Caenorhabditis elegans: one gene and its partner. The protein of the gene in region 1 purifies or fractionates together with the protein of each later gene. This does not show direct contact. Each region holds a gene or a part of one and is shown on either strand. Other genes may lie near its edges. The genes, in order: F42H10.6 and chin-1.

Region 1 (3,743 bases):
ACAACGTACTGGTAAACACTGCAAAGAATGTAATACTGAGGAGTGAAGAACTAAGAAAATTGAGAAGAGAAAGAAGAAGCAGGCAAAGAAGACGACTTTGTAGACTCCGGAGGTTCCGTTTCACACTCCCATTGTGATGATGATGATGATGATTCGGAGCGGCGGAACTAATGTCCGTATTGTTGTTACTGGAATGTCCGGGGCAAAAACTGAGATAAACACTAGATATCCAATACACTTTTTTCTTTTGAAAGTCGAATGATTTTCAGTTGAATTGAAGGATTTTTTCCTTTTTCCATCTTTTGAGTTTGAAGGGGTTGCCTAGATTGAAGACGTAGTCTTTTCGAAAAAAAAGTTTATAAACAAAATTATGCTTACTTTCTGAAATTATTCTCCACCAATCAGTTGGAAAAAATGCTTCGAAAATTTTTCGTGGGCACAACTGTTATAGACCTGAAGATTTCCGTTTTTTTTGCAAAAGAATACGGTATTTGGTCTCGAGACGACCAAAAATTGTATTTATAAAGGAGGTCGCAAAAATGAGTGTGCGCATTCAAAAAGTACAGTAGTTTTTACTTATGCGAAATGTGGAAGAAAATGTGAAAAAAACGAGAGATTCCGAAGAATTTCAAAACTACAGCATTATTTCAATGCGCACTTCATTGGTGGTACAGAATCGTTTTAAAACATTGGGTCGTGTCGAGACCTCGGTTTTTTGAAAGCCAATAATTTGCCAATAAAGTAAAGTGACAAAAGAAAAGCGGGTTAGTTGAAACGTAAAAAGAGCAAAAATAGTGTCCTTTTCGATTTCATTTTCCGGAAAGAAGAGCAACGAGTACGACAGCTGACGTGCAGTGTGAGCAAATGAAATGAGTCACTGAGATTCACACTTAAAACAATGCTAATTATATTTTAAAGAACATTGGTCAGTTGGTAAGGTATACTGTATTACCAAGAAATCGTGCATTACAGGTAAAAGAGTTTTTACGGATATACAATGTTATACATTTAACAGGCACAAAATAACTTTGACTAGGAAAAAAGAGGAAAAAGGATAGAGAAAAACATGTTCAGTTCAATTCGAATCTATTTCAATATCCGCCCTCCACATTCTTTCCGCATGAGAAGGCACATTTATGTTGACAAAATACAATTATTATCTGTGGCTTGAAGAAATACAAATCTTTGAATGAAAACCAACACAAATTGGAAAATATTTTGATTTTTTTGTTTGTTTAAGATAAAGAAGAAACTATTTGCAATGCCAATGTCCTAAAACCCTTGTCGCACGTGGTGTCAGGCTGTTCTCATTGCGGTTTGATCTACGAAAAATGCGGGAATATTTTTCCAGAAAAATTGTGACGTCAGCACGCTCTTAACCATGCGAAACGAGAAGAGATGTATGCGTCTCTTTTCCCGCATTTTTCGAAGATCAAAACGAAATGGGACTTTTTGACTCCACGTGTTGTCGTTGTGTCTGTGTCTGATATCTCTCGTAGCCATCTTTTTTTCCCGTTGCGGGTCAGATTGTTCTTCGGATGAGGATTGTCTTTAGAGAATAACCTTGACATATCCCCTCAACTTGACACGTTTTTATGTTTTTTGCGCTTTCTCGACCGTTTAAAAAATGTGTAGAGTTACTGTAGACTTAAAGGCACATGCACAAAATTTTCATCTACAACTTGTTGAAATGCGCTCTACCGCAAACATTTTTGTTTCTTTTTTGTGAATTAATTTCATCATTCCGCTCCGGCTGTGAGGGCTGCGATTCCAGTATACTTCGTACTTTTTACTTTGAAACGTTTTCTTTTCTTCAAATATGCGGAAATGCTCCTTTCACTGATAAACTGATAACAATCTCCTGATAATATAAATTAATTCGTCATTTTGCAGATTTTCTCACCTGAAAAATGGTTGGCCACTCCGAGTCTTCTACTGACGCTGTAATTGAACCGGTATGTTACATATTTATTAATAAAAAAGATACATAATTTAATTTGAAAATAGATTTCAGACAAGCGAAGAGCTGCTCGCGGAGCAAGTTCGAGTTTTCAACAAAATGAAAGGTTCCACAAATTTCAATCGAGTGGCTGAAGATGTCAGTTTTTTTTTGATAATAGTTTAAGATTAGGAATTTTTTTTCATTCAAAATATATTAATTCAAAATATAATTTCAGGTTTATCCGGTGGAGGTCACGAAGAGCAAGCTGGTATGTGAAATGGTGGTGCAGCATCAACACTTGAACTCAAAAGTGCGTTTAGTCCTAAAATTTCATGAAAACTTGTTTAAAATACCAGTAAAATTAAATTTAAAGAAAAATGAATATTCCGAAAAATTATCGCAATTTTTCAGGGAACACTTCACGGCGGTCAAACTGCTACCCTGACAGATGTTATCACCGCTCGGGCAGTTGGAGTCACAGTAAAAGATAAAGGAATGGCTTCTGTTGAACTGGCTGTTAGGTAAACTTTGCTCTAACAATAGTATGATTTTAAAAATCAGATTGTAAAGTCTGATGTTTTTTCGCGTAAATTGAAAATGACATCATCTATCAAAAAAAAAAAAGTGGAGCCATCACACCATTTCAAAACTATTCAAAATATTTCAATTGTTTCTTTGAATTTCTCACAAAAATTGAATTAGGTATATTTAAGAAACAAAAGAAGTGGTTTGTTTTCTAAAAAAATCTTTTTTCAGCTACCTTCTACCAGTCAAAGTTGGAGACGTTCTGGAAATCACTGCACACGTATTGAAAGTCGGACGAACAATGGCATTTACCGATTGTGAATTCCGGCGGAAATCGGATGGAAAAATGTCGGCAAAGGGAAAACATACTCTAGCATTCCTTCCAAATCAGCCTGGAATTTCTGTGGAAAATGGCACGCAGTTTTAATTATGTTTGTTCTTTCTTTTTGCATAATAATTGTTTCTTTTGGGTTCGATTTGTGATATAAAAAATATTTTATTGAAACTTTTTTGGAGAATGTGAGAAGCCACCGAAAACGCAAATATCGAGAAAAAATGGGGGAGAACAATAATAAAATACAATGTAGAGAATTTGGGGGGCCGAGAATAAAAAAGGAATATCACATGCTTGGTGCAAGGAAAAGCGGACATGGAATGGAGAAAATAATGAAAGAAGTTTAAAAGTTTAAAAATTGCACATTGGTTTTGCTCAAGAGTTTCTTATTTGAAGGAACGAGAGATGGGACAGAGAGAAAATATTCACCGTTTAATTTTTTTGGATGGAAATCAATAAATACAATAATAAATTATATTTAGAAATGCGTCTTAAATAATGTAGATTTCGAATTATTATGCATACGTATACACGCTCTACGAAACCTCATCAATAGAGCGAGATTGCCGAGTATGCGGGCAAGAAATATTCAAATTTGTCTTAAAGCAATTAATTTCAGGAATTTGTGAATGTTTTGAAACAACGAGCATGAATGGCATTGAGAAATAGAAAGTTCTGGGAAAAGAAGAGACTAGGAGAGTTGGGTTGGAAGAAGCTGCTAAAAATGAATAAAACGACTCGTAGTAGGAGAAAATACTGTATTATCTGACAGAAAAGTATGTAAAAACTGAATATCTAATTAAAAAGTTTCGAAACAATCTGACGATTGAAACGGAGTAAAACTTGCTTCTCAAACTGATCGGTAGAGTCTAAATTTGTAAGAATCAAATTTGTGTTTAAAGAGCTCGAATCCGGTGAAAAGCTTAAAACGCGTTCAGCGGT
Region 2 (7,812 bases), 7.4 Mb from region 1:
CCAGGCTTTGAGACATATTTCGGGCTTTGAAGCTTTCGAAGTTGAGATTTGGAGCCAAATTACCCAAATTTTGAGGTAGTGGATCAATTTTTCAGGTTCTGGAGCACACATCGGGCTTTGCAGGTATAGAAGTTCCGTTCTGAGCTGAAAATCGAGATTTGGAGCCAAATGACCTGAAATCTGGTATTCTGAGTCAAATTTTCAGGTTCTGAACGGAGTTTTAACATTTTCAGCTAGCATTTGAGCTGCAGAGCAAAAATTTGGCGGTGTTTGGGCTTCTGACTGAAAATCATCGGTTCCAAGCCAAAATTCAAGGCTTTGAGCCAAAAACTGCAGAAAAATATGAAAATTTCGGAATTCAACGCGCCAGGGGTCTTAAAATCACAAAATTTTGAGAATTTTTGAATTACAGCTCAATAAATTTATATTCTAAAACTCGGAAAAAAACATTATGCAATAAGAACGTAACAACATGTGAAAAATAAGGAAAAATCATAAATAAATGCATAAAACTGGTCAAAAAACATGCAAAAGCGAGAGAAAACGGGTACCCGATATGTAAATGAAGAAAAGTATGCGGAGAGATGAGAGAAATTGCTGAAGAAAATGCATAAACTGGGAGATATAGATCTAGGAAAATGAAAATTTAGGCAGAGGTTCCCCGGGAAAGTGGTCAAGCCGGCTCGGTGAGCAATTAAAAGTCGAAAATTCCAAATTTTCACAATTTTTCATACGAAAATTTGAGATTTTCGACCCAAAATCGCCGATAGAGCACACTTGCCACCACGGGGAGCAATAAATTAATGATGTTTCGGCACGACACGTGGATTATTGATCAGAAAATGGAGCAGCTGATGGTTCGGCATGGCGGGTATGGAGCCCGAGCAGAAGAGTGTCGGCGAGAAAATTGTCGCCAGATTTTCGACGGTCATCTTGTTTTTTGCACTGTGATCTGCCACCTGGAATTGGGGAAATTTTTTGAAAAATTCCAGAAAATTTGTTTGAAAATTCGAATTTTTTAACTTAAGAACTAATTTTTTAGGGGAAAACTAAATTTCAAGCCAAATAAAAAATATTGGCCACAGCGGGGGTCAAACCTCGGTCTTGTGCTTGGCAGCCATCCGTGTTACCCACTGCGCCATCGGTGCAAGTTTTAAATTTCGCAAAAACTGGGTTTCGGGGTATTTCTAGGGGGTTTGCACTAATTTTTACACCTAAAAGCTATGAAAAATTACTAGAGTTGAGTTTTTAGAATATTTCCTTGTTCTTACGAAAAAAAATTAAGCGAATTTTGCAAAAGTTTGAGCCATAAAACTTTAAAACGCTATGAGAACCAATTCCAAGCAAAATAAAAGAAATTCGCCCCGGCGGGGGTCGAACCCCGGTCGTGTGCTTGGTAGCCATCTGTGTTACCCTCTGAGCCACAGGTGCATTTTTGAAAATTTGCGGAAAATGGGTTTCCGGGAATTCTTAGGGGGTTTAAACTGATTTTTACACCTAAAAGCGATGAAAAATTGACTAGAATTAAGTTATTTGGGGCTTTATTCATTTTTATAAGAAAAATTCGAAATTTGGACAGAAAATAATTCTAAAACTGGTTTTCGACACTTTTAAATGCTTTGAGAACCAATATCAATCAAAACAAAAAATTCGCCGCAGTGGGGGTCGAACCCCGGTCGTGTGCTTGGCAGCCATCCGTGTTACCTACTGAGCCACCGATGCATTTTCGAAATTTCGCGAAAATGGGTTCTAGGGTATTTTCAGGGGGTTTGGAGTGAATTTTTAGGTCAAAAACCTTCGAAAATCCACTTAAATAGTGAAATTTTGAATTTTTACCTTTTTCAAATGCGCCAACACTGCTCCAAGTGTGATTATGTTCGCATCGGACAGCTCCATCATCACTTTTCTGAAATTTTCCAGTAATTTCAGAATGTTTTCCAGTTTTCGAGAGAAAAAATGAAAATTTGGGCAGAGGTTCCCCGGGAAAGTGGTCAAATGGGCTCGGTGAGCAATTTTGGGTGGAAAAATTCAAATTTTCACAGTTTTTTACGCGAAAGTTTGAGATTTCCAAGTCAAAATCGCCGATAGAGCACATTTGCCACGGAATTTCCAAAAAAATTTTTTAAAGCTATTTTTTGGCTCATTTTCACCGGGATTTCTACAATTTTGGGAAAATTTTGGACCCAAAATCCCCAAATTTCCAGCACCTTATCTGCCGCTCCCTCTCATGTGTAGATCGTTGATTCGTCTCCTGGTAGGCGACGAGAAGCTGCTTATGGACGCTGAACGGGATCAGTTGCTGTGGTAGTAGGCGGAAGTAGAGCTTCAAGAGCCCGCAAACTGTGTGAATATCGCAAACCTGAAAAAATTGGTGAAATTTTGAGAAAAATTGAAAGTTTTTTGGGGTAAAAATGAAAATTTGGGCAGAGGTTCCCCGGGAAAGTGGCCAAATGTGCTCGGTGAGCAATAGAGGTCTGAAAATTCCAAATTTTCGTAGTTTTTTATGCGAAAATTTGAAATTTTCAGCCCAAAATCACCGATAGAGCACATTTGCCACGGAAAAGCATACAAAGACAATTTTAAAGAAGAATTCAAAAATTTAGTGAAATTTTTGTGAATTTTCTAGAAAACAATAGACAGTTTTTGAATTTTCGAATTTTTTAGTGTGAGAAAACTAATTTTTTTTCGATATTTTCCAGTAAATTTCAGATTTTTACACAAAAATTGAGTTTCAAGAAAAAATTTGAGTCATAAAACTTTAAATCGTTCTGAGAATCAATTTCAAGCAAAATAAAAGAAATTCGCCGCGGCGAGGGTCGAACCCCGGTCTTGTGCTTGGCAGCCATCTGTGTTACCTACTGAGCCATAGGTGCATATTTGAAATTTCACAAAAAACGGGTTCTAGGATATTGTTAGGGTTTTCAAAGTGAATTTTGCAGTAGAAAACTTGAAAAATTGAGCTGAATATGTGAAATTTCGAGTTTTTCGAGTAAAAATGAAAATTTGGGCAGAGCTTCCCCGGGAAAGTGGTCAAATGTGCTCGGTGAGCAATTCCGGGTGGAAAATTCCAAATTTTAGCAGTTTTTTTATGCGAAAATTTAAAATTTTCAAGCCAAAATCGCCGATAGAGCACATTTGCCACGGAAATCTTATTTTAGGTCAATTTTCTTCAATTTTTACGATTTTTGGCTCATTTTCTTTGGATTTTTGCAATTTTTTAGGCAAAAACTCCGGGAAAACGCTGAAAATCCCGCGCAAATTACCGTAGCCAAGTCCACATATTGATTAGAATCAAACTGTTGCTTGAGCTTTTCCATATGATCATAGGATCCCGAAACCCGATAAATCCCCTCCACATCAAGACCCCTCGATTCGACTTCTCCAATGCAAAGTGGCACGATTGGCGGCAAATCTGCTCCGTGAGCCATGCACAGGGTGGTAATGTCGACGCCGAACATGCGTTTCACGTATTTCGAGTCGGGCACACAGTCGTGAAGCGTTTTTTCCGAGCATTTTTTGTGAGCCGCGAAGCCACAGTCCTCGCATCGCATTCCCTGGAAAATTTGATTTTTTTGAAATTGTTTCTCGAAAAAATATTAATTGCGCTAATCCTTCATAAAATTCGAAATCAGCGCAAAATTTAGCCTTAAATAGCTTTAACTCAGACTTTCTAGCTCAATTTTGAAATTTCGCGGGGTACTGTAGCTCCAAAAGTACGCAAACACCGACTACAGTAACCCGAAACACCGGATCTTACGTAATTGCGAGATTTTTGCCTGAAAAACGAGTTCCGGGGGTAAAATAGTGCGGGGAATTCGAAAAAGGCATTAAAAATCCGAAGAAATTGCCAGTTTTTGCGAAAATTGTGTTTTTTTCATGAATTTTTTTCAAAAAATTCCAGAATTTCGCCCTAAAATTTCACAATTTCCAGTTTTTTCTTAATTTTCGCGTATATTTTATAATATTTTACCTGATGCACCAATCCCCACAGGAAATTTCGGCAATAATCACAGTAGTGCGGAGCTTTGAAGGTGTACGACGTGAAGTTGTGTGCTCGAGTGACGGGACGGCGTACAATGTCTGAAGTGGTGGCGGCGGCGTTCGTATACCGAGAATATGGGCTGAAAAATCGATATTTCTATGGGGAAAACTGGAAAAACCGCAAAAATCTAAACTGTTTAAGGTAAAAATGAAAATTTGGGCAGAGGTTCCCCGGGAAAGTGGTCAAATGGGCTCGGTGAGCAATGTCGGGTGGAAAATTTCAAAATTTTTCAGTTTTTAATGCAAAAATTTGAAATTTTCAGCCCGTAATCGCCGATAGAGCACATTTGCCACGGAAAAGCGTACAAAGACAATTTCTAGGGAGAATTCAAAAATTCAGAGAAAGTTTTCGAATTTTCTAGAAAAAAATTGGAATTTTTGACGCGTTTCGTAGCTTTTTAGCACTGAAAAATCTAAATTAGGGCAAAAAGACTAGTTTTTGGATATTTTTCAGTTTTTACCGTAAACTTGTCATATTTTTTCACTATTTTCCGATTTTTACATCAAAATTTGACCAAAATCAGGGAAAACTCAATTTTTCGGCAATTTTACGGTAATTTTGAGCTCTCGAAGCTTAAAATTAGCAATATTTTAATTTTTTCAAGTTTTTAAGGTAAAAATCGAAATTTGGGCAGAGGTTCCCCGGGAAAGTGGTCAAATGGGCTCGGTGAGCAATTAAAAGCTTAAAAATCCAAATTTTTGCAGTATTTAATGCGAAAATTTGAAATTTCTAAGCCAAAATCGCCGATAGAGCACATTTGCCACGGAGAAAACAGAAAGTAGGTTTGAATTATTTAAGTGAGCTTTTTATTGAAATTTTTAGAATTTTCTAAGAAAAAATTGGCAGTTTTTGAATTTTCGACGCGTTTTGTAGTTTTTAGCATTTAAAAATTAACGTTAGGGCAAGAAATCTAGTTTTTACCATATTTTTCAGTAAATTTCAGATTTTTCCCACTATTTTCCGATTTTTGGAGCAAAATTCAACCAAAAACCCGAAAATTTTGCATTTTTGAGCTATTTTACGCTTTAAAAGCAGAAAATTAGCGAAAATGTCATGTTTCCAAAGTTTTTGAGGTAAAAATGAAAATTCGGGCAGAGGTTCCCCGGGAAAATGGTCAAATGTGCTCGGTGAGCAATTAAAAGCTTAAAAATCCAAATTTTTGCAGTATTTAATGCGAAAATTTGAAATTTCCCGCCTAAAATCGCCGATAGAGCACATTTGCCACGGAATTTATATTCTAAGTCAATTTTCTTCAATTTTTATAATTTTTGGCTCATTTTCTTGTGATTTTTGCCATTTTTCATGATTTTCGGCCTATTTTTCGCTAATGTTCCGCCAATTCCCATACCTATCCTCATAAATCGCCTCATCCGCCATTCTTTTTATATAATCCGCCGCGTGAAGGTCCACAAACATTGAAATGAGCCCATCAGCCACCAAAAGGTCCATAGTGTCGAAACGCTTCTCCCCAACGTAGAATTGACCGTCGTAGTAGAGCTGGAAATTTAAAAATTTGGCTAAAAATTGAAAAAATCCCAAGTTTTTGAATTAAAAATGAAAATTTGGGCAGCGGTTCCCAGGGAAAGTGGTCAAATGTGCTCGCGGAGCAATTTTAGGTGAAAAATTCCGAATTCTCGCAGTTTTTTATGCAAAAATTCGAGATTTCCAGCCTAAAATTGCCGATAGAGCGCATTTGCCACGGCGAGTTAACAAAAATTGGGAATTTTTCACTAAATTCGAAAATTTAGCGGAAAATTTGATATTTTTCGGGTATTTTCTTGATGTTTATCGATTTTTTCTGCTTTTTAAACTCTAAAAATGCTTACTTTATAATTCATAACCTTTGCATCAAAAATCATACACAAAGTGCACGCGTCTCTGCTCCGATTCGACTCCCGCACCAAATACGAGCCTTCTCCGGCCTCCAGCAGCATTTTTTCGGCCTGAAAATCGAATTTTCGAGCTTAAAACACCCAAAAATCACTAAAAACCTCATTTCTATCGATTAATCCGTGAAATTCGGCTCCAAAATGTCGAGGTCTCTGCTGAAGAGGTTTTCGGCACAAAACTGCGTTGGGTTTCGGCGCTTTTTCTTGTAAAAGGTACAAATTTTGCTTCCAGTATCCTTTTGATGCTCCTGGAAATTGGAAAATTTGAGATTTTAGCTTTTCGGATATTTTTAAAGCTTCCAAAACTTGTTGAGCTTGAAAAAAATGACTTACCCGAGCTCCCAGGAGGCCCGTCGTCTTCCATACCTGCAAAAATTCGATTTTTATTGATTTTTTAACTGAAAATGCAAAAAAATCGAAGAAATTTGGAGAAAAATGAGCAAAGTTGAGCTAATTTCTTAGAAAATAAATAAAATTCTGAAGAAAATCGCGAAAAGTGCCAGCGATCGAGACACGCGCCAGCAAAATTTCCTTGGCGCATTTCTCGACCAAATTATTTTTTTAATTCAAAACTTGAAAATATTGAATTTTCACTCATTTTCGCTGTTTTTTTCTCAATTTTTCGATAAAAATTGAATAAAAATTAGTTTTTTAGATTAAAAATGAAACTTTCCCGGTTGCCAATCCACATTTCCAAGAGATTTCACACGTAAGTCAGAAAATTATTCAAAAAAATAAAAATCTGGCGAGTTTTCCAGGAAAGAATATCGATTAGCGGGTCGAGAACAATCAGTAGCAGTGGATTTTGATGGAAAAAGTGGAATCGAGCTGAAAGCTGGTGGGAATTTGAAAAAAAACTAGAAAAAAAACGGGAAAAATTGCTAAAAATCTTAAAAATAAAGATTTCGAGCCGATTTTTGCCGCAAAAGATGCGCGAAAAAATTCTCCACTGTCTAGAAAAGGAATTTTCATGAAAATTTTGATTTTTCAGGCCACCTCGCCCGTTTTGCGTCATCCACCGTAGTTGCTTCATTCGGAGACAACGCCGTGATGGCTACAGTAGTACAACGGAAATCCAAGCAAGGAGATGGTAGTGGAGTACCGCTACAAGTTGAATATCGGTGAGAAATTCGGAAAAAAAATTGCGAAAAAACCGCTAAAAACCGATAAAAATGGCCTAAAAACTGAAAATTCCAGACCGTCAGCGTCAGCAATTGGCCGAATTCCAACAAATTTCCTGCGTCGTGAGCTCAGTCAATCTGACAATGAAATCCTCATCTCCAGAGCCATTGACAGGTCGATTAGACCACTTTTACCCGGAAATTCCTATGAAACTCAGGTAAAACTGGGATTTTCAGCGAAATTCAGAGGTTTTTGTTGGAAAAATCGAATTCTACGCGAAATTCTGCCTTAAGACCTTTAAAATTGGGTTTTCTATCGCAATTTTTGGAGTTTTGGGGTACGGTAGCCCCAAAAGTACGCAAACACCGACTACCGTAGCCCAAAACACCGGATCTTACGACATTTTAAGATTTTGCCCTGAAAAATGGGCTGAGGGGCTAAAAAATCACGAGGAACCCGAAAAACACATTGAAAACGTCTGAAAAATTCTGAAAATTCTGAGAAAATCGAATTTTTCAAAAATTTTAGTGCAAAAAATTGAAAAACCAACGGGAAAAGTTAAAAATTCGAAATCAGCGCAAAGTTTAGCTTTGAACAGCTTTTAGTATGACTTTTTAGCTCAATTTGGAATTTCGCGGGGTACTGTAGCCCCAAAAGTACGCAAACACCGACTACCGTAACCCAAAACACCAAATCTTACGACATTGGTGGAAAAAAAGGGGTTTAGGCTTAAAAAATTACAAAAAACTCCAATTTTCT

What was found.
Region 2: the proteins of F42H10.6 (region 1) and chin-1 fractionate together in Caenorhabditis elegans (co-fractionation; one large-scale study listed by BioGRID). This does not show direct contact.

Annotation. Positions count from the first base shown.
Region 1 is NC_003281.10:8,477,608-8,481,350, reverse strand, and holds F42H10.6 (Putative esterase F42H10.6), read left to right. Parts: upstream 1-1,899; 5' UTR 1,900-1,910; coding exon 1,911-1,955; intron 1,956-2,014; coding exon 2,015-2,098; intron 2,099-2,177; coding exon 2,178-2,252; intron 2,253-2,353; coding exon 2,354-2,463; intron 2,464-2,698; coding exon 2,699-2,894; 3' UTR 2,895-2,969; downstream 2,970-3,743. Other genes in the region: mig-39 (Zinc finger BED domain-containing protein 39), read right to left, coding at 3,597-3,743.
Region 2 is NC_003281.10:1,030,916-1,038,727, forward strand, and holds chin-1 (Chimerin 2), read right to left. Parts: upstream 6,298-7,812; 5' UTR 6,296-6,297; coding exon 6,265-6,295; intron 6,180-6,264; coding exon 6,034-6,179; intron 5,986-6,033; coding exon 5,869-5,985; intron 5,540-5,868; coding exon 5,391-5,539; intron 4,122-5,390; coding exon 3,971-4,121; intron 3,555-3,970; coding exon 3,264-3,554; intron 2,360-3,263; coding exon 2,208-2,359; intron 1,907-2,207; coding exon 1,837-1,906; intron 960-1,836; coding exon 801-959; 3' UTR 407-800; downstream 1-406. Other genes in the region: pnpt-1 (polyribonucleotide nucleotidyltransferase), read left to right, coding at 6,594-6,640, 6,690-6,769, 6,923-7,052, 7,129-7,270.